4 linked regions of the Drosophila melanogaster genome follow. Changing the gene in region 2 together with the main gene of any one other region gives a genetic interaction. Each region holds a gene or a part of one and is shown on either strand. Other genes may lie near its edges. The genes, in order: sas, Ptp69D, robo3 and Ptp52F.

Region 1 (6,511 bases), on a different chromosome or scaffold from region 2:
GGTCACTCAGCACTTTTCAATTTTATTTATTGTTATTTTTTGCCCGCCGTACATTTTCCCTTGAAGAAAGTGAGCCGCAGACAAGTTGGCCTGTTGATTGAAGTCGTTATTGAATTTTGTAAATTTCGTGATACGTATTATTTTTTAAGAGACCTCGTGCAAACCTATAAATATATTTATTTATTTTTGGCAAGCCATTTCGAGTGCAGTCCCTGACTTGCAATGCCAACGCATTGAAAATTGCTCAATAGGATTTTTTTTCTGCATTTTTAAATTTCTGCCCGCGCTCTATCAAGGCCATAATTTAGCACCCAAAACAGACCGCAAAACTGAAAATTAACATAAATGATTTATGTACTCGACTTTCAAGTACAACTGCAGCCAGTTGTGGTATACAATTTTCCAACTCATTAGTATTACTTTGCTGATTTTTTCCTCAGATTGAAAACAATTTGCTGCAAATTTGCAAAATGTTTTATTTGGATTGTGGTTAATCCAAAAACGGGTCGATAATAGCATAATATCCCCAAAAAGACATGCATTACAAAACACGAAATTTGTATTAAAAATGAAAATGAATATTGTGCACTTACTTTCATGATTTCGTTAAAATCTAGTCTAGCTTTATTTCTATATTTATTGCTTCGGTAACTGTAATTATAACACGAAACCAGTTTATCAACTGTCTAAAGTCTTGCCCAATAATTGATTTGCTAATACATATGTGCTTGTTTTAATTATAAAATCCAAATCCTCAATCCACTAGCTACCCACTCAACGCCTGGCAAAATAAGAGTTTGCATCACTTGAAATACCCATTTTAAAATGTAATCAGGTGCGGTTTCTTCTCCAAGTTTGTAGGTGTTTCATTTATCACATCTGTCAATGACTAATTGCTATTTATCTCTCTTAGCTAATTTCCTGGGCACATACTTATATAATTAGCCCCCGCGAAAAGACATTCCGTGTTTCTGTACAAAGTTAACACCCAAAATTTAACAAAGTTAACTCCAAGATTATGGTACGGACTACGTAGGTTAAGGGCATGAGTCATGACAGTTGGCTGCTTTGCATTTAAATTGAGTAATTTGTGAAGGCTTACCTTACCACCATCCCAATGTTTGCTGTTAAATCTCATTAACTTCCCGTGGCATTTAGACCGGCTAAAAAAGGCCAGTCCCTTTTAAACAATGCATTCCCACTTGCCATGGCAACAACCTATGCTCAATCGATCTAGACCTGTGTGTGGCCTGCTAGACCTCGTTTTATCGAGTCATCAATGAATCTAGATGGAATAGTATCAAAACAATGAAAAACCAATTGAAGTTTTTACGACGGAGTGCTTGCCTCGTGAAGAGTTTGGTGTGCAACTGACATTAAGCCCAAACAACCTTCTAGATAATTATAAATCTGTTACAGCCAAGAACTCGGCAATGGAATTGCCCGATTAATCTATTTTGCAAAAGGTACGTGTGTGAAAGTTAATCATTCCATCTCAGGTGATCTGGTTAAACGAATTTCTCCAGTTATCCTAATAACCTAAATGTGAATGTGTTCATTCAACAGAATTACAAAAAAAAAAAAAAAAATCTAATCTGATTTATTATTTTTTATTTTATATTAAGTATCAATTGTATCGAAATAGAAGTATAATTCAATTTATCTTGAGTATCTTGGGTGTAGTACGAGTAGAATATATTAAGATTTAATTAAGTTCATTCACTTGTTCTAGCACGAATAATAATTTCTCGTATAATTGGTTTCCGAGATTGAGCTTGAGGGCCGGAAATTTTAATATTTTCCCTTTAATATGCCGCGTAATTAACTAAGTAATTCAACAGGAAACCGCTTATGTATATCTTCAAATATTCTTCCATCCATTAATAGTCAAACAATTTCTCTTGTTCGCTCCATTTAACCGAATCGGAAAATAATTATGGAGAAATGCCGTACAAATCGAAACGAAATGGGTAAAAAAAAGGGCGGACCAGAAGTCACGCACCGGCACGGCGTTAATTGGTGGCTCAGAGAACGAGATTTGATTACGGCGCAGAGAGCACAGCGCGGCTAGGCGGGATTAAAGTGTCTGGCCGGAGATCGGGATGAGATGCCCCAGCTATGCGAGCGTCGTCGCGTAGATGCCGTCTATCTATAATTTTCATGGCTTTCGGCTTGGACTCACCAGTTTCGGTCGCATTGGATTTGTTGGCCGCCTCAGTTGTTGTCGTCGTGGAAGTCGTTGAACCATCCGCCGCCTCGGTGGTTATGCTGCTGATGCTGCTGCTTTGTTCTGCGGCAGTTGTGGCTGGAGTGGTGGTGGCTGCAACGGCGTCTGGGGCATCTGTTGTGGTATCCAAAGGTGGCATCGTTGTGGCCGCTGCGTCTTCGCCTGCGGGCGCAGACGCCGCACGCTCAATTTGAATGCCAAGCAAAAGTAATCCGCAGAGAGTGGCCAGGCACATTCTACTCCACTTGATCGTGGATTGGCCGCCGGAGGCTTTTCTTCTTCTACACGTTTGCATTTTGGTTTATGTTTGTGCTCCGTCTTTTTGGCTTTTCCTCTTTGATTTTTCTCACACGTTTGCACTTGTTATTGTTAATTTATAGTAATCTGCTATAAATATGGAATTAAATAAATTACATGCACTTTTAAACGTTTCGAAGGGTCTCGATAACTCATTACCTACTTTTGTTCACTAGTTATTATTTAGTTTTCTCTTTTGGGGTGCGGGATTTTCTTATGCGGTTATTTTAGTTCACACGACATCTGTGGCAGCGGTTTCTGTTATTTGTCATTGACTCGCTTTGGTAACCCCAAATGCTGTCATTTCCGTTGAAAGTCGGTTGAATAACGATCTCTCAAGTGTCAACTCAAGTCTATATTTTGCCAGCCGATTTGTTGAGTGATTTGTTAGGTCGCCCTACGCGGAAATTGGAAAGTTGTTAGCTTGAAAATAGGGGTGGCTTACTCTTGACTCAATCAATCAAAAATAATATGTGAGTTAATTAAGCTACGAAATAAAAGTATTAGCTAATTTTTCCAAATACGCCGCATATCTAAAGCATTTCCTATGTCACACATTTATGTAATGACCAATTTAAGTGTGAAAGCGTAAACATCTTCGATGCCACTCACGCAAGTTCGTTTCCCAAGTCTTTTGTTTTATAAAGTTTCGCATAGTTTTGAATGTGTCCGAATTTTTGAAAACCTATGTAGATTTACGATACGTAAACCCTATTTAGCATATTTCATTTAGATTTACAACTTCTGTACCTAAGCCTAGAGCAGCTCATAAATATCTTTCATTTTTTTAAGACTACGCCGCCAGCACAATGTTTACTTCTCACCATTCAAATCAGAAACTAGGCAAATAAACCAGCTTGCCAAAAACAAAGGCTGCCAATTGGGCTCTAAAAAAAGATATACTGTTTATATGCAAGGCAGTCGATGCTCATGCAACTCGCTACAATGCAACGCCAGCAACAAAAAACCCTAGACCCAAATTGCGATAGCAAAATATTTCAACCGGTTCCAACGGCAGCAGCAGAAACTGCAACTGAAAACGGCTGCAGACCGCAGAATTTGCTGCACGCCTTTTTGGCCATATTGGTACGAAGGCAATTAGACAGCGTGCGGTTCTATTTATTCCATATCTGCTGGCAATTGTTAATATTTCTTTTGGCTAACATCTAGTGATGTCATTGTAAAAGTTGATAGCTATTTGCACTGACATTTCGCATTTCACATTTCACTCTCACTCCTTTTTTGTAGAAATGGCAAATGGCAGAAAGCAAACAGCGAACAAGCGATTCGGAGCTGGAGGGAGAAAACGTGTTTTCGGTATTTCCAATGGAATGTTTTCGGTCGTGGTTCTCTTTTCTTCTGCTGGGCCGTTTATTTCACTACCAGATCTTGTGTTTGTTTAATAAGAAAGCAAAGATTTGCATAAATCACAACCGCACACACACGCAGGCACGCTTAAAACGAAGATTAGCACCAACCCGGCGAGAAATAGGTATAGGTATTGGTATATATCTCCTCTTATCTGGCCACGTTTGTGGGCAGCGCGGTTTATATGTATATATAAATCGTTCGCAAAGTAATGCGATCGCACTCGGCCAACCGCTCCGTCTCAAGCACGACCACCAACTGATCTCTCCGGCGGCACGGATCTTGGCTGGTAGCGTTGCCAACTCACCACGGTCTGCATCTGCAGGCTGCCAACATGTAACTGGTTTGCTGTTGCTCTCCGGCCAACTCTTAGTTGGCTCTCATCTGGCTGGCTCCTTCTCGCGCGTCAGCTGAGCGCAACAGGTGAGACCGTGCACGTAATACATAATACCCATTACCATTACCCCGTGGTTGAATGCTCGCTCTCACCCACACTCAGGTGTGTCTAGGCTGTTGCTGTCTGCCAGTGTGGGTGTAGTGAGCGAAAGGCCCTCTCTAGAAGTCGTTGGATTCGAAACAAGACGACCATGATGCATACACAAGACTCAAAGACGGAGTTTTTTTTTTTCAATTTGGCAAGGCAACTGCAATAGTCGATTCCTTGACAAGTGAACTCAGCGCGATCTATTTGGACTGTCCAATTGGATGGCGAAAAACTCAATCCCATTGAAAAACCCAGGCCAAGCCGAGTTGGCATTCATCGTTCCGATTACGCCTACCTTCGGTTTCTTTCTTCCTCGACTTCTTTGTCTGACTTTTTGAAAGAGCACAAGCGTAGATTCGTATTAGCGGCCCTGCATCTCCATACTCGTAGATCCAGAGTGTTCATGAGTCAGGGATGCTTGGGGTCACAGCGGCACTAAGAGATTAATCCCATTTACAGCTTTCGTAAATATGATTAAATAAAGAAATTCTATGCTACTTCGAAAGAGTGAAATGATAAGTGATAAGGTGATACCTTATCACCCCTATTGTAGGGTACATTGAACACTCGTGAGTGATAAAAATGATTAGTATAAGGATAGCATTAGTACTATATTATATTATATTATGTGAAATAATTACTATAATCCCTAAATGTTTGGTGTTCTAATAATATTTAACCAATTACTTTGGGATAAGTAAAACTAGAGATAAGATAAGTACGCCGACGCTATTAAAACCCAAAAACTAGTCGAGGTCAAATCGGTTTCTATAGAGGAAAGTACGATATATGTATATATAACTACATAAAAGTTATTTTTACTGCGATACCCGAAATATTAAATAAAACTAGAAAGATTCATGAAATTCCAATATCTATTAGCAAACCCAAATAACCGCCATTCCGAAGGCCTTATCTGCGGAGCTGCTCCCAAATTCATAAATCCACCGATCACTGACTGATCCACCGCCATCAAATGCCATCGATGCAAATATCAATTCTCCACTTGGGATGCGAGACGCGCCCAGAAACCGTCATCACACATCAATGGCAGCAAGTTGGCCAACCGTCATTAAAAAGGAAATGTGTGTCTGAAGAACTCAAATCTAATCAAATCAAATCATATCCAACTCAACTCTCAACTCTCTGCTCGCAGACGTCAAAAAGTATCAAATGTGCACACAGTTTCTATGTTATTGGGGCTGCTCTTGTGGTTGCATACATTAACGTGCAAACATCAGAGAATAATGCAGAAATGCGCTTTTTTTGGTGTTGCACAAACACGGCCAAAGTTGCATTGTCTCCCTTTGTTTATACATACATATATTTTGTCTGGGGCTTATCGCACCGTCATTGAGAAGCCGCTAATGCTAATGCTAATAAAATACAGGCGAACATAAAAAGATAATAATAATAACAATGCAACTTCAGTTTATGCTCACAGTTTTTGAATGGAGCATTTCTCAATGTATGCAAAGGAAAAGAACGCTGCAAGAAAACGGAAACTACAAGTAGTGTCTTTTGCATAAAATGCACAACATATGAATACTAAAGCATTAGGAATTAAGAATTAAAAATTAAGAAATATAAATTAAGCAAAAGAAAAGAAGACTAGAAGTGTTGTAAAAAATTCCAAAGTTGCATACTACCAATGGGTCTTCCACTGATAGCCAATTATCTAGCTACCAAATGGCCACAGACCTAAGCACCCACTTCCTTGCATCGTTGGAATGGGACCTGGTAAACCTGATACTTGTGTGATTTGATTTACCCAATCGCATGCAATGCGATAGCGCAGACGAAGAGCAGCGAAAGTTGTTCAATAGTAATTGGCTTAATTATGAGTACAATCTACATAGAAACTCGAAATTAAATTCGAAATTAGCGAAAAGCCATATCCACATTATATAAAAACGCGAAAAATGAATTTTTCGGATGCCATTGCGAGGGGCCAAGTTTTCACAGTTCGTTTTTTCCACCTGCTGTTCGTTGGTAATGTCTTCATTCGTGGTGTTACACATCAAAAAAAGAAAAAATCTCATGATAAAAGTCGAAGAGAGTTGGCCAAACTAAGGCCATGAAACCAGACGAAATCTCTTTCCAGTTAATCTCGAATTTGGGACTGTTTCAAAAGG
Region 2 (9,572 bases):
TTGCAATGTCTACTAATCTGAAAACTAGTATAAAAAAAATAATAAAATACGAAATCGGTTTTGGTTTCTATGTCAGGTTGGTATATCATATTTATCGACTTATCGATTTGAAACAATGGTATGTGAAACAATTCAAATCTGCTTATTTTTATTTTATTAAAAATAAATTGTAGTACTTATAATTTATCAATACACATAAAGGAATACGGAAAAACGATAAATACATTTACTTAATTTTATGGATTTTTTGTCCCATATTTACAAAATGAAAAGTGTAATATTAAATACGTTCATAATGAAGTCATTTTTACAAACTGATAAGTGAAATATTCAAAACTATTATAAGAAAATTCGAAAACCATTAATCCACACAACCAAAAAGAATGTAAACCACACTTATCAAGCTCATAAAAAGTACAATTCTTATTCTCAGTTTTTATTACATTGTATCTTATAAAATATGTTACTTATTTTCCTTTGGTAGTTTTATCAATACGATACGTATACACTACATTTATATTTGTATGTATATTATGTGTCGGGCAAACGTAATTCGTTAAAAAAATTACGCTTGCTCTTGTAAATACTTTATTAAAAGATTTTATAAATATACAAATAATTTATCATAGCACATTTGATGCATTGATGTTCCAACACGTGCATTCTGTACTCGTATAAGTATATACATATCTAACTTAATCCAATGTTGACTCGGCTATGTGATGTAAGTCTGAATAATTAATTATTGCGCGATGTAGGAACTCGTATTGTGCCTAGAAACCATATAAACATCTAATTAATGCATTGACAATAAAATATAAACAAATTCACTTACGTATGAGTTGATAAGTCCCGTTCGCTGAGATCGTAATTTCCTTGTTGTGGCACAGATGTCGACACACTTCTCCAGCCTCAGATGCTGGACCAAAATACACATGGCGACGAAAATGGAACTTCGATCGGTTCCCAGGCTGCAAATAATTTATAATTGATTAATCCGTCAAGTGCATGAATCAAAGCATCGCCGCATACCTGCAATGAACTGTGAGTGGAGATCGACAACCAGAATTCTTGTTGTTCTTATAATGGTTGTATGCTTGATCTACAAGTTCTATAATGCCACGGCAGACTTCAGGAACTTCTCCGTCCACGGTGGGCCAACCATTGTATTGAAATTGTGTGACTTTCAGCGTATCGTCTATTTTGCAATTCGTAACATAAAATTCGCGGCGAGTATAGTATGGACAACTTTCGCTGTGCACGTATTTCACGAGTATGTGATCGTATTGAACCTCATCATCTGCCCAGTATCGCGGGCATTTCCTGGGACCATCTCCGATCTGCAATGCAATTAAAGCACTCAGTTGAATGGGAAACCAATAAAGTAGAGAGGGCACTACTCACTTCGGATATCATGACGAGGGTGGTAACACTCTGTTCCGAGATCATTCGCCAGAAGTCTCCTATAGTGTTTTCAAGTGGATCCTGGGCAATGATGAAGGTTTCGCTATTATCATAGCCCTCTATGAATGATGCGTTAATGTAAGTTGAGTTTTCCCGCATCGGAAGTGGTGTTAGTATAACCTTTAATTGCACAAAAACATTCACAAACATTAAACACAGTTCGCATAAAAGTTAGCCACTATTACTTACTCTGTTGCGATCGTAGGGTATAATCTCTTGACTTCTGTTCTTCATATTGTTCTCCTCGTTTTCGCCCACACTACATGATTTACTTATCTCATCTGCTGTGGCCAGTAGTTTCTGAAATAAATAGTAATAAGCAAAACGCCTGCAAGTAGATAACAAACTATACAAACCTCGAATTCCACTTCCAATTTGCATTTACCCTCGTTGGGTTTCCGCTTAAGAGATTCAATTGCAGAAGCCATTGTATCAATGCAAATATCCGTGTTTCCAAAGGTTCCAGTATCTAATAAAGCCCGGTAAAGAAAGATGTATTGTTTCTGCAAGCAAAAAGAAAGTTATTACAGCAACTACGAGTGGAATTTCCATATCTACGCACCAGAGATTGGACTAAAAAATTTCGTTGGTGTCGTAGATCACACACTGTGTTGTAAATGGACACCGAGTCTTCTTCCTCCAGCTGTTGGATTAGGGAATCTAAAGCCACCAGGGTTCCGGTTCTACCCACACCAGCACTGCAATGCACTAAAATTGGACCCCTTTGCAGGGAGTAGACGGAATTGATTTGACGTATGAATTTGATGATGCCATGTGGATGCTCTGGTGCCATGAAGTCCTTCCACGTTAGGTAGTGGTATTGGGTGATTTGTCTACGGTCCTCCTCCTCGCCGACATTGGCTTTGTTCTTGGAAACGTTCAGGGTACGTTCAATATAATCACCAGTCTTACGTTCTTGTGCAAATTTCACTAAAATATCTCCGAACTGTTTCGTATCAAATACTTTTTCTGGCCAATATTTCGCGCACTTGGCCTTGTTATATTCCTCCAAATTTGTAAGCATCACAATTATTTCTAGATGTTGTTCCCAAATCATTCGCCAAAAATCATCGATGGTACTTTCCATTGGACCCTGTGCACAGATAAACTTCTTTCTCTCCTTGTAGCCAATTACGAAGTTAGCATTGATGTAGTCCGTAGTTTGCAGGCCATTGATGACAGCCAACTTTACGCGCGTCTGATCGTAAGCCTTTATATCGGGATACCTGTTCTTGCAGGCGTTCTCCTTTAAATCACTGTTTTTAGTTGTCCGATCGCTAAAGCGATTTGGCAGCATCTCATATTCCCGCAGAAATCCGTAGTCAGTGTCCTTATGTCGGTTCTTGTAGGCGTTTTCTAAATCTAATCTGTGAATGGGGCCAGCGTCGAATCCTTTGTGATTTCCGGAAGTTATAAAATGACTGTGGTTGTGATTTCGTCGACCGAACAATGCCCTGCTTGATGTGAAGAAACAATTGAATATTAATTGAAATCACATCAAGAAGATCAAACAATTACTAGTTACCTCAAAGAATCTCTTAGTGTTAAAGTGTCTTCGCCCTGCAGTTCATTCTTGGTTTTCTTGTGATGGAAAACCCACAGCACAATAAATACAAGTATGACACCAAGTAATACGGCTCCAGCCTTGACCCCAATGCTTAGGTAGTAGTCCATATTGTTCAAGGATTGGATGGGTTCAGCTTCAGTCGCCGGAGTAATTATATCAAAGTATTTGCTATAAGCCATCAGGGCATTGTTTCGATCCCGAACTGAGGAAAATAAACATGATATTACCATTTTGCTTTCAAAAAATCAATCATTACGCACCTATTATCTCTAGGAATCCGGTGTAGTTGGAGTTAATATCTATCTCACCATCGAAGACATCTCGACTAGAATCGTGGAGTGGCACATTTGGGTTGACGGCGCTTAGAATTGGATTCTCATCGCTGGTCACCGCGTTTCTTTTATCCCTTAACTTACTTTCTAAGATTTTCAGAGCATGCTCTGTTAAGTTTGCTCCTTTGATCAAGTTGTCCTTCTCCGACAAAATGGGCAGTTCAGAATCGGAATCTAAAGAAAAGCACATTAGTTTCAAATAAAAAAAAATAAATAAAGTTTATATTAATTACTTGATAGTGAACCTTGTGGGGGTATGTGAATGATCTCGGGTTTCCTCAGAAATGGAGTACCCTCCAAGCATTTCCGACAAATTTCGTCGTTGTCGCGGATTATATCGTTGTTCTCACTAAATCTCTTTTCATCGCCCAAGAATATTTCCGGCCTAAAGTACTTGCTACTTATCATTTCCGCTATATATGCACTACTTCTAGTCACGTTATCGCTGTGAACCTCCTGATATGTGGCGATGTTTAGCTTCTCCGGGTCCGGCAATTCCTTGTTGTCATTGTTAATTCTAACTAGATACAATCTATAGCAGCATATGGGCCCATTGCGTTCGCTGATCTTCGGTAGATACAACTTGAGAACGTACTTGGAGTCCAGGTTCACCTTTGACCACATGGTACGGCCAATGGCATCCGGCGTGGAGACGGGCATTAGACAACTTCCGGTGGCCGGTTCGCCGTTCTTCTTGTGCCGCGTTATGGCAGACACCGTCACCGTGTAGTTTGTGTTCGGGCTAACACTTTCGTAGAGGGTCTTGTGATGGGGTTCATCGATTCTTCGAATCTTTGGTCCCCACATCTCTCTATCCACTGTGCTCATGGGATTGCCCAGCAAGTGAATTAAATATGACACAACCTTGCCGTTTGGCGTCTTGGGAACGTCCCAGTTAATGGCGATGGAGTTGCCTCTCGTGACGTTGTCATGATGACACTGTATGCTCAAGTTGGTGGGTTTTGTTGCCACGCCGTCCATCGTTGTGCCGTTCACGTTTTCGGACCATGGTCCACAAGTCTTGGTTAGATCACTACATGCCCTTACCCTAAATTCGTAGTCTGTGGCGGTCTTAAGCTTATCAAACATGTATGGCAAGTTTCGAGAATTCTGCTGGTAAATGGCCTCTTCGATCACTTTGGGCACCTCGCCCGATTCGGAGACAATCAGTTCGTAGTATTGTATATAATCAATGAGATCTGGCGGCGGTGGATTCCAGCCAATCGTTATCGTGGACGCCGTGCTGCCGGTGGTCTCGACTTTTGGTATAAATATGGGATCATAACTAAGCGTGGTGATTCCCTGGGGATACTGGGTGGGTTGGCCATTGCCAATCGAGTTCTTTCCCACGATTCTTAAAAAATAGGTTGTGTTCGGCTTGAAATGGTCCAGAATATACGATGTATGGCTGCCGTTAATAAAGTCCTTATGATAAGTAAAAGTCGGTGTTCCAGCCTCCTGCAGAGTGATGAAGAACTTCTGAATTGGATCGTTGCCGTCGTTAACGGTCCAATTTAGGTATATTTTATTAGCACCAACTGCCTTGGCGAAATCAATGCTAACTTGTGGCACTTCCATTACGAAAAGGGTAATCTCTTTGGAGGTAATTTCGAGTCCGGTGTCATCGAAGACGGTGCACTTGTAGGTGCCATTCTCTTTCTTGTAAACTTCTGTGAATTCCAGGGTGAAGTTTAAGTGCGTATCGTTTAGCTTCGAAATGGACGAGAAGGTGTCCAGGAATTCAAACTGGCTGCCGTCCTTAAGCCACTTGAGGTTTCTATTAGTTGTCTCATTTTGTGGGTACATCTCGATCAAACAGTACAACATGACATCCTGCTTGATTTTTCTCTTAATCCTATCGGGGGTACTTTGCAGGACTTTGGATGGAAGGTATGGCCTAACTTGGAATTCAGTCGAATGGTTTTGCCCCGTTTGGGCTGTGCATGTGTAGTTCCCCGAGTCCTTTATATTGACATCGAGAAGCGCCAGGACATTCTTATACTTGATGAAGTCTTGACTATCGTTGTTTTCACTGCCATCGTCGTTGGATTTCAATGGCTCAGTTCTTATTTTATATCTGAAAAGATCGAAAAATGATCAGATTATTATGTTATTCCATCTTTATGGGGGCAGAAATATTTTTAGATGCTTGTGCAATAAGTTACTAACCTTGTATGGTTTTTATTAATAGTTTGGTTGCCCAGCTTCCATGCTACTGCTTCGTTTTCAGATGCGCACTCTAGAGATACGTTTTTACCTATTTCTGCCCACTCTGTAAATAAATTTCATTAAAATAATTATCAGTTTTGTATATAGACGTAATTATAGAAATTACACCGATCTAGTAGCAACATGCTTCTGTCAGCCTAAAAATATGTTAGACTTAAAATATATCTTCCTGATTAATGGTTGTGTATATTTAAATCTGATTATAGCTTCCGGGTTTTATGCGATTTAGTAAAATATTCAAATTAGAACTATATTGAAGGAAAATTTCTTATTTAACTTTCCTATTAAATTTTAAGTTTTATGATGGACACCAAGAAAGGTTTTTCTGGATGGGCGGTAAAAGCCAGACATAAAAATGAAACTACACCCACAATATTGGCCATAAAACTCGCGGTAGTAATCCGGCGTAATTTCGGAATCAACACGTATTTAGCTGAAGAAATATTACAAATATATATATATGTGATTATATTTCAGATAAATCAGATAGATGTACATAAGTATGTACGCAGAAACATAAAACGTATGTATGTACCGGGAAGTGTGTACATATGTATGCGCGACTACTTTTGTTTAGCCCCAATTGAAATCTCACCCCATCGCCGTAATCTTTGGGCGTTACCGACATAGTTCGAGTGCTACTGTATCTAAGAACTATACAACCGTCTTGTTAACCACCATATCAAATGATAATTCCAGTTTCCAACTTAATGTAAAACACTCCATTCACATTTGCAAAAACAACACAAAAAAAAAATGAGACATTGCAATTTGTTGACACCCACAAACGGTTCTTGATGTACGTATGTATGTACCAATTATGATGTTCGTCTGAGTTTTTGAAACATTACCTTGTTTCACAGATCCTTGCACACATATCGCACAAAGGAAAATATATGCAAGAATTATATTTAATAGCATCGACATGCGTCGGTAGAGTAACGCCATGGCTTGCTAATTTCTCACTCCGAGCCGGATAAATACATATGTCAAAAATTATATTCGATGTCTGCGTTGAGTTAAAAAGCTCTACTGCGTTGAACTAATGTCGCGGCGAGTGCAAAACACCGACAAATGTGTTTTATTAAAAACCAGTTAATAGACGGCGACCGCGAATAAGTATTAATCGTTATTTTCTTAACACTGGATTGTTTTTTTTTCGCGATATGCGGCGTTATCGATAAGTCAGTCGAATATGTACCCTTGGCTGCGGTTACCAAGGGATTTGGAACAACTGAATTGGAATATAATCGTATATTATAATAATATAATCGTAATCGTATTTATTAACATGAGTAATTAATAAGACACAAGTATTTATTTATAGAGCAGTATGACATTAATTGTTACTTAATTGTTGCAAATTTATAATTTATTTCTGGAATGCATTAATTCATTTATTACTTCATATTCACTTTTATTACGATTCCGTTTGGTAGCCGATATATTTTACAATACCAATGAGCGTTGCTATCTTAGCACACGATACAACAGTTCACCGCAACCACCAAATTCCAAGTAAACTAGCCGGCATTGTTTGTGCGCGTTTTTTTTTGCAGAAAACCACCAAAAACACATAAAAACATGAAATTAGTAAGGTATGTTATGCGTCATTTACCTAAACTAAAACTAAACTTGTTAGCAATGCGTGCAGTATAGTTTCATTCAGTTTTTGAGTTCTGCGATTCTGCACACATGTATGCATGCAAAAGCGATGCTCCCATTTGTTGTTTTTGTACACAAAATTTAATTTAATACGAATGTTGTTTTGATCTGTTATTATAATAGTTTTCCATTATTTACTTGTATCTGGTAACAATTCTTGCACTTTAAGTAGCATTTTGCATAACTATATTCAATGCAATCAACGCTCTTAATCCAAGGCCACCAAATACAAGCTACCTTTAAATTCGTACTAATTTGCTAAAAGTAAAGGCTCTACTAAGTATATTTCATCATAAAGGCTGCTTGCATACACCTTATTGTATCTCATTTTTCAATCACCCAATAAGATATTTGTTTCTACCTATAATAGCCTTGCATCTCTGAAATGCTGCATCTTTGCAACAGGGATTTCCTTAATTTCGTTTACTAATCTTCCCGTTGATGCATTACAGATTCCTTATGAAGCTAAGTCACGAGACCGTGACCATCGAACTGAAGAACGGCACCCAGATCCACGGCACCATTACCGGCGTGGATGTGGCCATGAACACTCACCTGAAGAGCGTTCGGATGACGATCAAGAACCGGGATCCCGTCCACCTGGAGACGCTGAGCATTCGCGGCAACAACATCAGATACTTTATACTGCCGGACAGCCTGCCGCTGGAGACGCTCCTCATCGACGACACCCCGAAGTCGAAGACAAAAAAGAAGGACAGCGGCCGCGTGGGAAATCGCGGCAGGGGCAGAGGCGCCCGCGGACGAGGTGGTCCACGGGGTCGCGGAAGGGGCCGAGCTTCAGGCCGACGTTAATCTTTGTAACAGCTACATCTAATAAACAATATTCGATAAATATAGAATATAAATATTCTTTGGATAAATCCACACTGTATGCATTTACTATGTACGAACAACTGACAAATGTCTTCAGCTAGTAAAGAAACTCCATCTGAATATGTATATTGTTAAAAATCACTCTGTGTAGTAGCTCAGGAAAAATGTGTTTACTTGGCAACAAATTGAAAGAAGACTCCCGCCATTAAATTATGATTAAAAATGTTTGAAAGTTTGTAAAAACGCTTTTTTATACTTTTAATTGTTTTTGGACGCACAAAATGTCTTTCAAATGTTCAACAATAGTAGGAGAAAACTGTGTTACTTAAGCTAGGCTATAGATTCAAATATATTTACTACTGCCATTAGGATGCGTGGTGAACAATGAAACAAACGACAATGTTAAACCCATGAAATGGGCATCGCCTTAAAACTGGTTAACTTAAGAGATTCTACTTTAAGTAACGGATTGGAAAACATATCAAAAGAAACAATAGATATAGGGATAATGGAGTAACCCTCACTTTAAAACCCATTATTAAGGACAAAAAAATATAAGTGATTTGTTTAAGTTTTCAAAGGCAGGTTGAACCGGTTCCGATAATATATCGAAATGTCAAATTGTGGAACTTGCTCCGATCAATTATCGCTATTCGGGTTCGGATACCCGCTAAAAGTAAGGCGCCAATTTTAAATCTTAAAATTTAAATTAGGAATGTCTTTTGATAACACAATTTTTTATTTTATATTTTTAACTCAAGTTCACAATTGCTCAAGCTTCACAGCTCTATTGCTTTCCTTTGAAGTCTGGTCAGAGCCGGGAATTTGTATATATTTGTTCGTTTATGGTTTAATTGAGAATGTGATTTTGGCTGCAGCTGTTGTTGCTTTGCTTTGCATACTAAGTTTGTTTGTTTAATAATCGTGCACCATATATATACATATATATATACACTTGACGGTTATTGGATCTCTGCAGTGTTAGGATTGTTAAAAGTCGTAACTTATCGTAATTTATGCTTTTGATGAACATCATTTGAGGGATAACATACAACTATGACACAGGTAAATATTTAAAAATTAAAATTTTTTTCCACAATGTTATATTTTCGGTTACCTTAGTGCCTATATAATTGCTTTGTTTGCATTCAATCTGACTCAATTACCTTTTCTGTATCTTTTTCTGCAACCGTTTATTTGATATCAATATATTAACTTTAGCCATTCCTTTTGAGCTTAGTGCTTCGGTTTTACCATTTTGATTTCTCTATTTGTTACCATTTATTCAACAATAATACAGCTACATTCGATTTGCATTCAAGCAGAAATGCAAAATGTTTGTGATGAAAGGATATCGAGTTTGTATGATGGATGTAGTAAGTCATGAAATCACGATAATCTAATTAAATCCATTAGCAGATATTCAGTCACCCTCGAAAAAGGGTTGAAAGTACTCGGCTGTAAGTTTACACCCTGCACAA
Region 3 (6,622 bases), on a different chromosome or scaffold from region 2:
CCACACCCCCTCCAGCATCACTCGGCCGCCCTGTCACCGCTCAACTTTCAGATATAATTCCTGGCTGAAAACTTTTCTCCCGAGGAGAGAGTGCAAAAGGGGAAGGACGCCGGCTCAACCGGAACTTCCGTGCACTGCTCAAGTTCTGGGCCGTCGCTTCGCCTTGGCTGAAAAGAATCTCTTCCGCTTTCCCCCCTTTTCGCCCCTTTTTTAGGGTGTTGTGGGCGTGGCGGCAAAATAAATTTGTATTGTTTTGTCTGGGTGGCGAGAGGCGAGGCCAAAGAGCAAACAATGCGAGCTGCCAGAGCTCAAAAACGGCAGCCACTAAATGCATTACGTGAGGGGCAAAGTGGAAAGGCGGTGGGAAAAGCGGGGAAAACTCGGTGGCGAAGCGAAGCGGGGGGATAGCGGCGGGAAAACTGGATGCCGTCTCCCTTTTGCGGCTACACTGTAACGGCTTTTGTGTGCGGGTGAGTGCTGGCTTTGGCATTGTTTTCCTGCACGGATATCCTTAATGAGTGGAACTGGGCTACCGCTTCTCGAGCAGCAGCATCACAACAGCTGCCACCCACAACCGTCATAATTACCCCGCCCCCTTCGCTGGACCAGAACACCCTCCACCATTTCCCCCACCCAGCTGACAAACACACTCGAGCTCCTTGGCACTCAAGAAACTGAAAACGGGGAGCTGGCGCTGGAGAAGTCCTGGCGGGGGTCCTTCGTATCTCTGACCACATGAGCACATAAATCTTCGGGCACGGTGGCAGTGGCGCCCCCTGACGGACGGACCCAGCTTGACGCCCAAAACCACGCTGCCAAGGAATGCGAAAAGTGCCTTCAACTTTTTATGAAATATGGGTTGACAGACGGCTCATCTGTCATCTAATAAATGCATTTAAAATTAAACAAATGCGCGCATAAGTGCTGCAATCAGTTAGACATTATGATAGATTGGTAAATTTATAAATAATTATTTAATTTATACATGATTTGGTAAAGGAACTCATAATTTGTATTTATATTTGTATATGTTATGTCCTTTATAGTTGCTTTTGACCCACTGTGCACAAGCCCCATCATTATGGGCGTGTAATTATCACGATGATCACTTTTCAACATAACCAAAGCGAGGAAACTTTTATATTAAAAGTAAACTTATGACAAACGAGCAAAAGAAGGCCAGCTGGAGGAAAAGTGGAGTCCTGGACAGTGGAGTCCTGCCACACACGCGTCACATCTGCAAGAGTGTGAGTGGATGTGTGGGGGTGTAAGGATGTGTGGGTGTCCATTGTCAAGTGTAATTTATCATTCAGTCAACGTTCTTCGATTGCAGTTTATCTTCGGAACTTACTTTACTGGGTCGCCAGTGTAATTTCCCACTCCCCCCGCATCTTTCCATTCTGTCTGTTCTCCGGTTCTCCCTTTTCCCACGAGTAAAAGCAGAGGAAAGTGTACTAGGGGAGCAGCAAGGATATTCCCTCGGAGTTGTTATTGTCCTGGCCGTAGAATGAATGGCAAATCAGGAAAATCTGACCCCCAGGTTGTTAGTTTTCTTGCAAGGATTTTTAAAGCCAATGGGAGCAAAATAGCAATTAACATGGATTTTGAAGCATCCACCTCGACCTCAGCCATCCATCCCTCGCCCTCCCTCCCCCTGCTTTTCCATTGAGTTCCTCCTGGTAATAATCGGAAATAATTGAAGAAAGAGAAAAACAGCGGGGAACGGCAAAAAGAGAATACTTACCGGACTGAAAAGCCGGGTAGCGGGGAATGGGTCACATCCTTTGAAGGATGTTTGTGTGTGCAATTTGTAGCGTTTTAATTGTTGTTTATGCGATCTAGAATGGGGGCGAAAGGAATGATGTGGTGGGGACTCCTAGGGCGCGGGGACCCAAATGCATCACCACCGCAAGCCACTGAGCTAATTTTGATTGCGGTGCCTGCAAACGACAGGAATCAGCAGGTGAAAGACGATGTCGGCTCCCGAGATCCTAATTAACTATGCCACTGATGTTTGGTTCGATTCAGCAGATTGCCCTCAAATGCGGGTTAGCAGCAAGTTGAAGTGCCTAATGCCCCGGGGGAAAACAAAGAACTCGAAGTCATGTGAATAAAGTCAGGGGATTGATGAATATGTAGAAGGATATGAAAGCTATCAAATTAAAGTAATACTTGAAATGATTAATTATTTTGATATTAGCAAAACAATAGGTTTCAATCATGACATTGATATCTGTAATCAGCATCTATTAGGAGTGTCATTACTGTGCAACTGGAATATATCTTATCTGCATCGGCATTTAACGGCTATTTCGAAATATTCAAACTTACTCGCTGCTTTTCTGGTTCTCATTCAGTGAATATATTTTACCATTCTCTCACAATGTTGTAAGCATTCAGAGAGCGAAGGAATTCCGGTTGAAACTCCGAAAATGTTGTTTATTCGGCCAGTGCGCAGACTCACCACTTTTGCCGGCAGGATTCAGCAACAAATGTTTATGCTCGCAACTGTGATGATAAACAAACCTGACTGAGACCAGAAACTACAATGTTGAGAAGCCATTTCAATATTATTTATTTGTTTTTGGAAATTTTAAAAACCCTATTGATATAAGATAAACACCAAACTACCATTAGAAGGCTGCCATTTTGTTATAAAATTTACTAGTATGATTGTACTTTACGGAAACACATAGCATTACAAACATTACAGAAAGCCTCTTATATGATGATACCTCCTTATCATACGGAATTCGATTACTTTTCGTTTTCCCGAGCTTTCCCCGCTGAAACAGCTGATTTGCCTGCAGGAATTTACTCCGAAATGTTGCTCTTCCGACTTCCCCAGTTCCCCGAGTTCCGAACTGGCCGAGCTGCTCCGAAGGCCGGAACTCACCACCCAGCGAACATTGCTGTGGACTGTTCCCGGTCTCCGGATCTGAAGGAACCCCATATCGAGTTGGCCGTGGGACGCCGTTCAGTTGAGTTTTGGTTACTGCCGCCAACGGTTATCGAGCTGAAAGTGAGCGCGTGTCGAGCTTTTTTGGTGCCCAGTTGTTTGGGCCAGCTTCGTGGGCGACTGGATTGGCAGCAAACATAAACAAACGAAGTGCGAAATTGCTCGGAAATCAGCTAATTGACACAACGGACATGCGAGGGCCAGACTTTGGCCAAATTTGGCCTGGCCAAAAAGGAAGCGGAAGTACTGCGGCCGCAAAATACATTGTAAACTGCTAAACTGCAGGGGAAGTGTAGCGAATAGTGTGCGAATGGAAGTCGAGTAAAAATCAAGCAACTCGAATAGATATATATATCTTTATATCCCTGCGGGAGTCGCTCCCCTGTGTCTGTGTGCCGGTGTGTATTTGTGTGTGTGTGTGCCAGGAGTTGGGCTGGGCAAATAAGTGCTCGTGCTCAGCTTTTTTAGCCAGTTTATCTTAAGGCGAAATACTGTAAAAAATTGTAAAATGGATTTACGTTTCGTATTCATCGTTTTCCTGCTCAAGTGGACCCATGCACAAGGTAAGCTCGAATAAAAATACACAACTGGTGCAAAAACCTATCCTGGTCATGGACTTCCTTCCTTCCGTCCATCAATCCATCCTATCCTCTCCTGCGTTTGCCTGGCATTCTCTGTTTGTGCAGCTGCCACAAGCTCTGGGTTCTGGGCTCCGAGTGGGTGGATATGGATGTGGATGAAAGGCGGAGACGGGTGCAATTCAAGTGCAATTCAGCCGGCCTGCAATTGCAAATATGCCATAGAAAATTGCTCAACAGAGACAGAAGTGCCAGCTCGTGAATGCACGACATTTGTATAGCTCTGCGATCCCGTAATGAGTTGCATTTAACTCATCCGACTCACTTGGCCGAGATGTTTTGGGAGCCGGGCATATTTATGATGATTGCCGACAGGTGTTGAATGGCTCGTCCAAAGGCTTGCCAGAATGTTGGTTGTCAGGCTTGGATTCACCTGAATGCTGGTTTATTGATACGTAGACTTGACTGGGAATCTGCATTCCGGAGACAGACTTGTCCCAGAAAGATACATAAATACTCGGCATTAGTAAATGGATAAAGTCCGTGCTGATAGCTGAAGAAGCCACCAAAGCAATTTACTAAGACTTAAAACTTTGAATCAAAATGAGCTAAGAATAGACTGAAATATAATTCGGTTATTATTGATAAATCAAATGTTGAATAACTAAGCTTGGTAACATTTCACACATAATATTCCAAGTAGTAGAGTTATTGTGGCAACACAATTTCCATTAAATCTACACTCTGAATTAATTCCCTTGCTCATCCTGCCTAATCGCTACCAAACTTTAGTTGCCAGATTAGCATATTTCCTGATTTGCATTTATTGGCCTAAACTGGCAGATAACTTAAGGCATTTCCCGAATCGTTCCATCCGCTCAAACATGCTTATGCGTAATGCATTGATTACTTCCTCCCGAAAACTTTTGCCAACTATAATTTATAACTCTTGCTTATCTCACCAATAAGTTGTAGCCATCAAATGGGAATTCGTATGAGCAAAACTTTTGTGCCAGACGCAAAACAATTTCCGCTGCTTTCAGCCCAACAAATTAGTGGAAAATGTTCTGCCAAGAAACGAGAAACAAGCCGGGGATTCCCCTCGGGCTGGCTAACTAAGCGAAATGAGTATGAATTCGAGTCGTGGCTCTGAATACAAGTGAGTACTCAGGGGCATGGCTCAAGCGGCATGTTTTTGTTGCATAAAATATGCGCATTTAACAAGGGGCTTCCCACACTTTGCCCCAAAAAGCAAACATATAAATGTGGGCCCACAAAAAAGCATTTCTGCCCGGCCACAAATGATACAAAAGATTATTCATATTTTTCGGAGGTAGCACATATACGAGTATGTATGTATGTACATATGTACATATGTGTGTGTGCGGCCATGTTGCCGCTGTTCAATTTGCGTTTTTTACGCTTGGATCTCCTTTTTTGGTTAAGGGCATTTTTATTATGTAGTTCATGCATGTAAACGAATTCAATTGAATAATATCCTGTCATTTTGTTGTTACATCCTCTTCGGGCTTTCCATTATCCCCCCCCCCCCCCGAAATTCTTTTCCCGGCTGCTCCCCTCGTTTGGCATGTCAAAATTTTTATCAGCGCACAAAATCCGCCAATGCAGGATGAAGGATATGGTGGAGTAAATAAATAAATCCCGACAACACGCGTGTCCTTGTATCGCCGTCCTGCTCGCGCAGATCCTCTCGCCCGCTCCCACGCTACTCTCGAAAGTATGCAATAAATTTCGAACAAAAAATATATTGGCATTTTAGTGGGTTGGCTGCCTTCTGCTCGTGTGCGGTGTATCCAATAAAAGAAAATTAAATACTTTCAGCGAAAGATTCTTCTTTTGGGTAAATTAATCGTACCTCTGTATTCTGTCGGAGTTTCAGATTTTTTCGCGTACCCAAATATGGATTACAATTCACTAAGTGCCTTTAATTCGAGCTTTATTTATAAATATAAATACAATATTTTCCCATATCTGTTACAGCTTTTGGCCCAATTCGAATGCCAGTTTCGCAAAACGGCTCCCAGTCGTGTGCCATAATTTTCGTTTCCCAACTTTGCCCAAGTTTGCTTAATTTATAAATTATGCATTATGTAGACTGCGTTACCAGGCAATTATCATTTTCCCGGGAAATTGCTGGGTCGCTTGTTTTGCTCCTGGTCTCTCGCCCAAGAAAGTAGGCTACGCAAAATTAATTTCTGCTGTATGTTTTTGCCTGTGTGCTTGGCTCGGCTCGGCTCGGCTCTTCATGTGCGTGTGCTTATTTATTTGGCTGGGATTCGAGAAAGGACTCGGATCGGTTGTCTTGTATTTGGCCCTCGTGCCTGGCGGCTACCGAAAGCAAAGGGCAAAAACACAGGGCCATCCGCACGGCGAAGTAGGAAAAAGTTTGGCAGACCGGAATATTAATGAGTATTTAACCTAAATTGTTGCTGCCTTTGATAAGTGCCACGGAATATTCCCCATGTAGCAACGAATCTATTCTTGCCCCTTAGCCAGCGGCATCAATGGCAGACGAGAGAATTGGCCGTCTCTCTGCGGAATGTGTGGGCTTCCCTCGTAACTGAGGCATTAAATTACTTTAAAAGAAGGGGAAAAAAAGGGTTAAATTATTTTAGATGCTAGAACGAACCCCATCGGCTGCCTTTAAGACTTTCCGCCCAAAAACTCGAAGGACCTGCTCGAATTTTGCTCTTTTCCGACTTCGGGGTCGGTGCCATGAGAATAGGTATTATTTGGCCAGACTCGAGTTAATTGAAAGGACGAAGGTATTTATTCCTTCAGGGAGAAGGACCCGGTCGGCAAGTAATAAAGTAATATGGAATTAATCTGGAGTCCATTAAATATAGAAATATTTGAGAAATTGAAAGCCAGTCGGGTAGAGATACAGTATTTACTTGGCAGTTTATCAAGCACAGTGGCAATTGACTAGGAAAAATTTCTACATATCTATGGAAAATTCAATAAGAGAGGTTCACAGTTTTATTGAGTATATCAATATGTTGAAATAACTAACATTAGTTGAAACTACAAGCGAATTAGATAAATGAAACAACAAAGCTGTGCA
Region 4 (9,613 bases), on a different chromosome or scaffold from region 2:
CACTTGCCTTTGCTTGTTTATTTGCGTGTTTCATTGATTAGCACACACTCACACACGCGCCGGCGAGCAAATGCAATTGCAATTTCAAGTGCAAAAAGAGAGAGGAAAAAGGAAAACAATAGCCAAAAAAGCTTTGAACTCCAGCTTTAACCCCACGACGGGCATCGAATGCAGGGACTAACCGTTAAGTGCCGAGACTTTTTGCTTTGCCTTTCTTTAACCCACTGCTGGAAACGTGCAAAAAGCTCGTCACTAGATAATAGAAACAATTTGCAGTGTCAGGAGCGCTTTCCACACATTCTGGGAAATCGCAACGGGTCTTGAATATCTAAAAGAATGCCGCAGCAAAAAAGCCCAAAACGGAAAACTGTAAAAAAAAAACAAAAACAACTACACAAGCACAACGAAGAAAATAAAACGAGATTTCTTGTGCATTGGCAGAACTGGTTTGCCCAGTAATAGGTGTTGTTGGCCTATGGGGGAACGGGAAGTACATATATGCAAGGAATCGGCCAGTTCGGGGACTCGACTTGGCTAAAAATCGATCAATTCTACTTTTGGCGAGGGGGAGGACTCCAAACATGCGCGAAAATCCACAGACATCGTCACTCGCACACACACACACACTCGCGCACGCACACCAACGCACTCGATGTGTCATCGCTTTCTGGTGGTTGTAAATAAAATGTAATCATAGTTCGTTTCTCCACTTATTTACTGATCGTCTTTTTGTTCAACACACTACTTTTTTTGTGCATAATTTGCATAACTCTTTCGCTTGTTTTTTCATTCTCTTTTCAATAACAAACACAATAACAACAACAGTTTGAACGAAAATACTGTTACGACGGCCATCTTGGATAGAGAGAGGGGGCCAAGAGAAAGAAATGTCCCAAAGGCAATATGCATAATGGGGAAAAAGGACAAATATCCAAGCGCACATATAGTATATTATATTTTCCGACTCCAACCGACATGCTTGGTACATAATGCGCGAACTAACACTTTGCCATTGGCAGTTTTGTACATATGACGTTTTTTTTTCTTCATTTCTCCCAATAGCCCATTACACGGGTTGGTTGCGAAAAATCCATTTTGCTTGGGTGTTCTATTTACAACGCGGCGACTCGGTGTTTGTTCTTATTATGCAGCGAACGTTACTTACAACAATTTAGTATTTCATATATTTATAATTACGCTTATTTATTTATGTTTAATCGAAATATACGAAAAGAATTACGCAGAAAAGTGACGAGCGGACGAAAATGCTTCGATTAGTGTGACCGCAGTGGAAGCAGCTCAAAAAACATCACGGGACTATCGATGACAGCGATTAGCTATCGATGTGACTAGGAATGTAGAAAAATGTTAATAAAAATATGTATAATAACTTCTAAATACTTTTTATATCTTATATAAGACCTAAGGACTGAAACCATTGAGTAAAGAACGAGTTGCCATAACTTAAGCCCTACTTCCATGCAAGCGCAGTGTGAACAGCTTAAAAAATTGGCGCGCTATTTAAAATGCTGATAAGGAAATGGACCTTCGTCAGCTTTTTTTTTGCGGAACCACAACGCCTATCCGTGAGTGAACAAAATGGGTTTCCAATTATTTATGCCATATAAGTATTGCTATTTATTTATAACACATCCCAATTCGATAGTCAACACTGCAGTTTGCTAATTGTAAACCGACTTTGTTGTTATCTTACACACACATTCGCGATGGGAGTAAACTTTCCTTATCACCGCTCACACAGCGCCAGAACACAACACAACCGATTTATGGAGTGCTCCCTTTGGCGCTCAGTATTCGAGAATCGCTCAGCGGAAACGGTTATTAGTTTACTGATTTTCGGGCGACACACACACATTCGTTATTCATAGTTGGTGCGCCCAAATATTCGCGAAACAGCAACAACAATTAGCAACCATCTGTCACCTGTGAGTGCAGCGTATCGTACACAATCTCAATCGCTCATTGGGAAAATTGCCGAATAATGTAAATCATTTGCCAAATTTGGGCACTCGTTGTGTGTTATCAGTGTTTGAGATTTAATCAGCCATTTTGTACGCATTACATTATATCGATATAGCCGCTATATCAGCCAATTCTATGGCTCTATAGATATATGTTAAATATGATTCAGTTTAGCAATGCTTGCTAATCCTGCGGTAGCCGATCCTCTTGGCCACATTAGCGTTTAACTGGCGAAATCGAAAGCCATTTATGAGCCAGCACCGTATGGCTGTTATCAGACCGACAACTCTGATGATTATATGCCGATGATAAAGGCCGCTTGTTCGTTTGTAAACGTTAAATTGTTATTATTGGCTTACTTGGTGTTTTGGAAAACCTCGGCGCGCTGCGATTTGTTTAAACAATCGGGCACAGACATTGGCAAATTGTCAACGTTCCATTGCCACACTTTCTGATAACCAAACCCATTAATAATGATCGGAAAGTGTCATTTTTTTTATTTGCTCCAAAGAAGAGCTGTCTTCTTCGCTTGCTTCCGTTGCCGGCAGCGACAACTGAAATTAGTAATTAGTGCTGCCAATTTGAGGGTACGGAATTCTTTCGATTAGCAAGCTCTTCGATGACGCACTCAGCATATCGGCAATATAGTCTATATATCTATATCTATATATCTATTGCTATACCCATTCCATTTGCGACTGCGTGATGGGATTGCAAACAGAGCCGCGATTCGAATTCGAGGATCGTCGTCGGCGATTCTCTGCGATTTTAGCGAATCTGTCGTTAATTTTGTTCGATTATTATTGGGTTGTCCAACAAGCCAGATTACTATCTGTATCTATATCTGCTGGCCACTTCTCCAGCCTGTGAAGTGGCTTGATAAGATTCTAGGGATCCAAAAAATCCAACAAAAAATTCAGAGAATATTGCGACATGACATTGCTGGAGTTTCCAACTTCATTCTCATGAATTTCCGCCGCATTAAAAGGCTTTGGGTGTAAGCCACGACATTGAGATAACCCCCTTTTTATTTTTTTTTTTTGGTATCTCGACCATTTCGTTTATTTTTTTACATTTTCCACTTACGTGTGGTATTTGTGAAATGATCATAAATCGCTCGCTGGAAGTTGTATGTATTACATTTAATTTTTGTTGCGCTGGTCAGCAACTCGGGGAGATCCAGAATCGTTTCCCACATCGCGAGATATGCAAAAGTTCGGCGGCCACTAATTGTTTATGACCAATCACCTTTCGTTTGCCCACGTCCAGTGAACTCTTATTTGTTGTGTTTTGTGTTTATAAACAAATGAACAGTGTGCATGCGAGCCAAGTGCTTTGCAATTGGGCGAGGTTAATGCTTCGCGGAAAATCCCGCGCAGGAACCGGTTGCATTAGCTCCCCGCCGATAACAATTTGTTATTAATAATTAATAACGCATCATTACTCACCGCAAAAAGCAGCAGAAGCAATGAGGCCCTAAGATGGAAGCCACAAATTGGAAGCAATCGCATCGAAGGATTCACGCACTAATCCTTATCCTTTGGATCGCTGGGGTGCAAGGACAAACCGTTGGTTCCCTGGTGGCAGTGAGTGAGAGCCAGGAACTGGCGGAGAGTAAGTATTACTCTTTGAAAAATAAGCATATGGATGTCACTGATAATATGATATTAATATAAGATACACTGATATAAGATACTTTTCAAATCCTAAGTGCATCCAGTTTTGTTTTAGCCTATAAAAAGCTATATGTATTACCAATATTCCAGAGGTGGAGGTGACTGTGGTTTCTACGGTCTACACACTCGGCTTTAGCATCTCCAACGAGGCGGACTACTCCATCGATAAGGTGATCTGTCGCAATGGATCCGGATCGGAAACCGAGGCCAACGCAGCGCACGTTTGGTTCGTAGAATGTTTTGAGTGAAATGATATCGCGGACTAACATAATGCCTATGATTTCCAGTGAAAACCTTAATCCTTGCACCTTCTACACATCGGTGGTTTCATTCCGTTCGAATGTCTCCGGCAAACCACCGCCTTCTGACCAAACCATCTATGCCTACACTGAATATAAGCGTATGTTTATATAAAAATGCTAACTATGAAAACCATAAACCATATCATCTTTAATCGCAGAGCCCAAGACCACAGTGACCTCAGTGGTGGCCACAGCGAACACCATCAAAGTGACCTGGCAGACGAACGACCGCGCCTGTGTGGAGTCCTTTGGCATCACGGCAAAGGCGACGGACTACACCAAATCCTTTCAGCTGCTAAACGATAAAAGTTCTCAGACTTTCGTGAATTTAAGCGCCTGCCTAACGCACACGATCACCCTGGACACGCGAAACAACGCTAGCGTTGTGGTGGACACGGATGCCACCGATGTGGACACACAGTACGCGGAGCCCGGCGATCTCGTCATGAACGTAACGAACCTAGCCAGTGGCATCACGATGATCACGTGGGGAGATCCCTCCGAGAAGAACTGCATCAGTAACTATGTCTTCAAGTGGCAACGCAACGATTGCGGAACGGATCAAAATCAGGATACCACCACGGATGTGCCCAGTACGGAAACTACGAACGAGATTGACTACGTTACCACCACACCAATGGAGACCACACCCGATACGCCCAGTGATGAAGGTAGACTCTAGGTTCCTCTTATAACCTCTTTTGAAATACATATGTGTTTTATTCTTCCCATCAGTTAAGTGCGAGTGGACCGATGTCTCCTCCGATGGCAAGCTGAGGGAGTACCTCCTGACCGATCTTCAAGGATGTGATTTGTACACCTTTCAGGTTTTCATCAACGAGAACAGCACGGCCAAGGCTTCTCAGACTTTTACTTCGGCAGAAAAGTGTGAGTGCAACTAGATAGACCAGCTATCCAAGTAAACCATAAATCACCATAATTCAAATGTTTAGTGGTCAGTGCCGTCTATGAACCCAGTCCCACCGCCTATCCCACCCAGTTGCATTGGACTTGGTTCTCTCCACAAAATCATCCCAAATGTGTGGCTAACTATAGTGTAACGCTGACCGGACCCATTCAACGATCGGAAAACAAAACTATGAATGTGATCACAGAGGAGACATTCGCTATCTTCGACGACCTTGATCCGTGTGGAATATATTTGGTGGAGATTGTGCCCAATCAGCTAAATGGAAGCGCTGGCACCAAGTACCAGGAGCAGAGCACCGTGGGCGAGGATCGTGAGTGCAAGTGCGCTTCAACTCATCCAACATCTATCTATCTACTATGATTATCTTCTTGTAGAGCCATCTGTGATTCAAGATCCCGTCGTGGAAGCAGAAGCCTACTCGATGGAGGTGAGCTGGAAGACGCCCGAGTACGCCGATCTCTGCATCGATGGCTACCGATTGTCCGGCTGGATGGAGGACGATAAGCTGGTTGAGGTTGAAGCACTTAGTATTACCACCCAGAATACGACGGTTGTTTTCGACAAGAATCTGCTGGCCTGTCAGGTGTACATCATTCAGATAATCCCATACACCAAGGAGAACCTCGATGGTCAGCTGAGACAGGTTGGTGTGGAGACCAAAGCAGCTATAGTTGATTACACTAAGGTACTAAGGACTATTTTACGTATATTTCGTATCCATTTGACCATTTCTTACTGACTGCAAGCATTTTATTGAAGGTCAAGCTGGAAATGAAGAATGCTGGCTCCGAATTTATTGATTTAATCGCCTTCAATGCGGACTACAACAATTCCTGTCCGACGATCTTTGCGCTCTTCACGTGCAATGCCACCACCCAGGTGCGAAATCCATACGCGGAGCGTTATGTGGAGGGACATAGCAAACAAGGTGGGTGTACTGGTCATCCAGTCATTCGGTATCCAGATGGCTATTCTAATTCATATTCCATTCTCAGGTTTTAATGCCAGTCTAAGTCCACTTTCCCCCTACGCCACCTACGTTTGCAAAGTAATACTCTACAATGTGGCAGGACCTTCCGAACCAGTTGTCGATGCTGATATGCACACCACAACCTACTGTAAGACCTACATTATATACATATGTATATATGAAGTTCATATGTAAGTTGATCTGTGTTTTCAGTTCCCGAGCAGCCGGAGAGTGTGATGCTGGAGAAGAGCACTGTCAGCAGCCTGCTGTTCAACTGGCAACCGCCCACCTACACAAACGGACCCATCAAGTACTACCAGGCATTCCTGATGCGTCACGAGGCCAGCTACTTTGTGCCCGCGGATTGCGCGATAGTCGAGCAGGACACCAAGTCGGAGACCAAGGGTGATCCTAGTGTAAACTTCACGGGTCTGGCTCCAGCTGTGCGATACATGATGCAAGTTGCGGCACAAAATGACTTCGGAATGGGCGTCTATACAGAACCCGTAATTGGTATCACTTTGCCAGCAGGTGAGTTAAGATGAATAGATGGAATATCTTTATATGAGTAATATGAGTAATGTAAATATTTCGTATCTTGTAGTATCCGATAGCGTGACCCAGTTGACCGTACTAACCCAGGGTCCGGTGAACAATAACGCCGTGTACGAAGCGAACGTGACTATCACGTGGAAGGTGCCCTGCAAGTCCAATGGCGATATCGAGTATTTCCAGCTGGCTTTCAATGGCACACGAAATAACTTCGCTCCAGTTTCATTTGAACGGCGGGTGGAACTGGACACGGGGAATAAGCAGGGACGGATGTCCTACACGGAAACGGAAATGCAGCCACAGTTCGACTATACGGTTGAGGTGTCCGTAAAGAATCGCGATGTGGAACAGTTGAGCAGCAGTGTACCGGGTAGCTGGCAATCGCCAGCGGGACGTAAGTATCGAAATAACGGAAAAGTAATCCGTAATCCATTGATTCCCATTCGTGTATCTTCTCTTTCAGTGCCCACCATTCCGAGTGATGAGCTTATCAAGCAAATGCGCGCCAATGTCGAGGAGACATCTAATCCAACGAAAACGGCCATTGTTCGCCTTCCAGCCGACATCATGACATCCGCATCCGGCGACATCAAGTGGATGGCACTGATGATCTCGCAAAAGAACTGTGCTGGAGTTCCACACCTCAAATACGATGTCAGCAGCGATTGGCCAAAGGTTCTATCCTATCAAGAGGCCGGCGCAGATGGCACAGGTGACTGCAGTCTGGAGTACCAAACCACCGAGGAGCGCTGGCATCCCGAACCCGTTCAACGTCAGCGAAGGGATGGAGAGGTGACATCCGATGAGGAAATTGTTTTTACCATCGGATTGGACAAGTGTTCGGAGGTTCAGAAAACGTATTGCAATGGACCTTTGTTACCAGACACGGATTACAATGTTGTGGTGAGACTGTTCACCGCATCTGGTTATAGCGATGCCGCCGTACTCAACTTTAAGACCAAGGCGGCCATCAAGGTGACCCTGATCCTGGTGAGCGTTTGCAGTTGCCTGCTGCTGGCCTTCGTACTTGGTTTGACGGTTCTCTGGGTGCGCAAGCGATTGGCCTGGTAAGTCAACGATGGCAATCTTCACGAGAGAAAAAAGAACTTAACTTCGTTTGGTGCAGGAAACGTGATTCTGGTCAGGGTATCGAGGATCCATTTGGCAATGTCATTGCCAAGAACTTTGCCATCTTTTATACCGAAGTTGCCAAGCCGGAGAAACTGGCCAGGGAGTTCAAGGAGATCACCGTTGTGGCCTTGGAGCTCAGCTATTCCGCCTCCGAATTGGGTTGCCACAAGAATCGCTATGCGGACATATTTCCTTGTGAGTAACTTCAATGTAGCAATAACCATTATGGGAAACCACATTTTTTCCCATTTAATAGATGACAAGAATCGCGTGATTCTGGACATCGATGCGGAGGGATCGGACTACATCAATGCCTCCTTCATAGATGTAAGTAGTTGTTATAGCTAATCCTTAAGGAAGATCATCTTAAGTGCATCCACTTCACAGGGTCACACGCGTAAGAAGGAGTACATAGCCACCCAGGGACCAAAACCAGAGAGTGTGATGGACTTTTGGCGCATGATCCTGCAGTACAACGTGCGGGTTATTGTTCAAGTTACCCAGTTTCGCGAGGGCAATACGGTAGGTACATGATTAGGTCCTTGAGATGGAAGCTAAGCCTTCTTTGTCTTGTCAACAGATCAAGTGTCACGAGTACTATCCGTATAATGTGCGTGGATTGACTGTGACTATCAAGTCCAAGGAGGTTCTGGAGCTGTACGATCGAACTGAGTTGACTGTTGTGCACGACAAGTACGGACTGAAGGAGAAGGTGATCCACTACTATTTCAAAAAGTGGCCCGATCACGGCGTGCCCGAGGATCCCATGCATTTGATTATGTTTGTGAAGAAGGTGAAGGCGGAGAAGCGACCCAGTTACTCGCCCATTGTCGTCCATTGCAGTGCGGGAGTGGGCAGGACGGGCACGTTTATTGGCCTGGATCTGATCATGCAGCGATTGAAGAGCGAGTCGAAAATCAACATTTTCGAAACGGTCAAAAAGCTGCGATTCCAGGTGGGTTTTTTTTTCAGTGCCATTGTGGATTTATCTCATTACTTCTCCACTACTTCAGCGCATGAAAATGGTGCAAACGCAGCAGCAGTACACATTCCTCTACGCCTGCACCTATGAGCTGGTCAAGCATAAGATACCCAGAGCTGCGTTGAAAATGGATGGGCGTCCCAAGTCCGTGACCGTGCCCGCCATTCCCTCTCCCAAAAAGGTGAGCTTTCCGGACGTGGATGTGGGCAGTGAGTATGTGTCATCCGCACCGATCACCGATTTGGATGACGGTAGGCCCATCGTGCAGCTGCCTTCTAGGTTCTCCGGACTGCGGAGGAATAGTCCACCGGGCGAAAACGATAACCCAACTAGCAGCAGCAATATGTGAGATGAGCTGTGTTCTTGTAACTTTTGTATTAACGATGTGTTGACAACGCAGCAGCAATAATAGCCAAAGAAATATGTATCTAAATTGTATATTAAGTGGAAAGTGTGGATATAAATTTGGTAATTGCATTTGAAAAACTGTTTTTGTACATAAATGTTATTTATAAAGAAGCGCATGTATAGCAGAAAACTATAAGTTATTGAACTTATTTATTAAATTGGGCAATGAGCAAAGAATTTACAAAAAGAGGTATCGTGTATAACAGTTTATAAGAGTTTTTATTAAATTCAAATTTGGCGGTAAATGCAATTACAAAAAAAGGTAGGAGCGAGACAACTATATTTTCACAACGGCGGATTACGCCTTTGAGCACTGTTTACTGCACACATTTTACAGCACTGTTAGGCAGATAAATAAATTGTATTTATTTTAGTAAGAAATAAATCGTAGTCTTCAAAATGTCCGAGCGAAAGGTCTTAAACGTAAGTAAATACATCTTAAGCTAATAGATCGCCACCTGACCGACTCCTCTGCAGAAATACTATCCCCCGGACTTCGATCCATCGAAGATTCCGCGCATGAAACTGGCCAAAAACCGGCAGTACACCGTGAGATTGATGGCTCCATTTAATATGCGCTGCAAAACGTGTGGGGAATACATATACAAGGGCAAGAAATTCAACGCTCGCAAGGAGGACGTGGAGAACGAAACGTACCTGGGCATCAGGATCTATCGG

The links.
Region 1: of Ptp69D (region 2) and sas, changing one enhances a phenotype caused by changing the other (phenotypic enhancement), as found in Drosophila melanogaster (one study listed by BioGRID).
Region 3: of Ptp69D (region 2) and robo3, changing one suppresses a phenotype caused by changing the other (phenotypic suppression), as found in Drosophila melanogaster (one study listed by BioGRID).
Region 4: of Ptp69D (region 2) and Ptp52F, changing one enhances a phenotype caused by changing the other (phenotypic enhancement), as found in Drosophila melanogaster (one study listed by BioGRID).

Annotation. Positions count from the first base shown.
Region 1 is NT_033777.3:7,160,532-7,167,042, reverse strand, and holds the start of sas (stranded at second), read right to left. Parts: upstream 4,236-6,511; 5' UTR 4,003-4,235; intron 2,922-4,002; 5' UTR 2,684-2,921; intron 2,615-2,683; 5' UTR 2,523-2,614; coding exon 2,183-2,522; intron 1-2,182.
Region 2 is NT_037436.4:12,732,121-12,741,692, reverse strand, and holds Ptp69D (protein tyrosine phosphatase 69D), read right to left. Parts: upstream 6,749-9,572; 5' UTR 6,541-6,748; coding exon 6,444-6,540; intron 5,636-6,443; coding exon 5,533-5,635; intron 5,441-5,532; coding exon 3,597-5,440; intron 3,538-3,596; coding exon 3,292-3,537; intron 3,234-3,291; coding exon 2,990-3,233; intron 2,922-2,989; coding exon 2,027-2,921; intron 1,968-2,026; coding exon 1,821-1,967; intron 1,765-1,820; coding exon 1,654-1,764; intron 1,585-1,653; coding exon 1,405-1,584; intron 1,341-1,404; coding exon 1,033-1,340; intron 972-1,032; coding exon 836-971; intron 774-835; coding exon 696-773; 3' UTR 125-695; downstream 1-124. Other genes in the region: small ribonucleoprotein particle protein SmD1, read left to right, coding at 7,177-7,190, 7,710-8,070. UniProt on the Drosophila melanogaster protein: Possible cell adhesion receptor.
Region 3 is NT_033779.5:1,253,424-1,260,045, forward strand, and holds the start of robo3 (roundabout 3), read left to right. Parts: upstream 1-2,993; 5' UTR 2,994-3,467; coding exon 3,468-3,522; intron 3,523-6,622.
Region 4 is NT_033778.4:16,170,505-16,180,117, reverse strand, and holds Ptp52F (protein tyrosine phosphatase 52F), read left to right. Parts: upstream 1-1,810; 5' UTR 1,811-1,946; intron 1,947-3,443; 5' UTR 3,444-3,464; coding exon 3,465-3,597; intron 3,598-3,749; coding exon 3,750-3,885; intron 3,886-3,946; coding exon 3,947-4,059; intron 4,060-4,119; coding exon 4,120-4,632; intron 4,633-4,696; coding exon 4,697-4,849; intron 4,850-4,914; coding exon 4,915-5,202; intron 5,203-5,266; coding exon 5,267-5,577; intron 5,578-5,651; coding exon 5,652-5,820; intron 5,821-5,887; coding exon 5,888-6,010; intron 6,011-6,075; coding exon 6,076-6,393; intron 6,394-6,466; coding exon 6,467-6,808; intron 6,809-6,877; coding exon 6,878-7,481; intron 7,482-7,540; coding exon 7,541-7,740; intron 7,741-7,801; coding exon 7,802-7,872; intron 7,873-7,932; coding exon 7,933-8,067; intron 8,068-8,125; coding exon 8,126-8,500; intron 8,501-8,558; coding exon 8,559-8,876; 3' UTR 8,877-9,006; downstream 9,007-9,613. Other genes in the region: CG8435 (uncharacterized protein), read left to right, coding at 9,335-9,358, 9,413-9,613.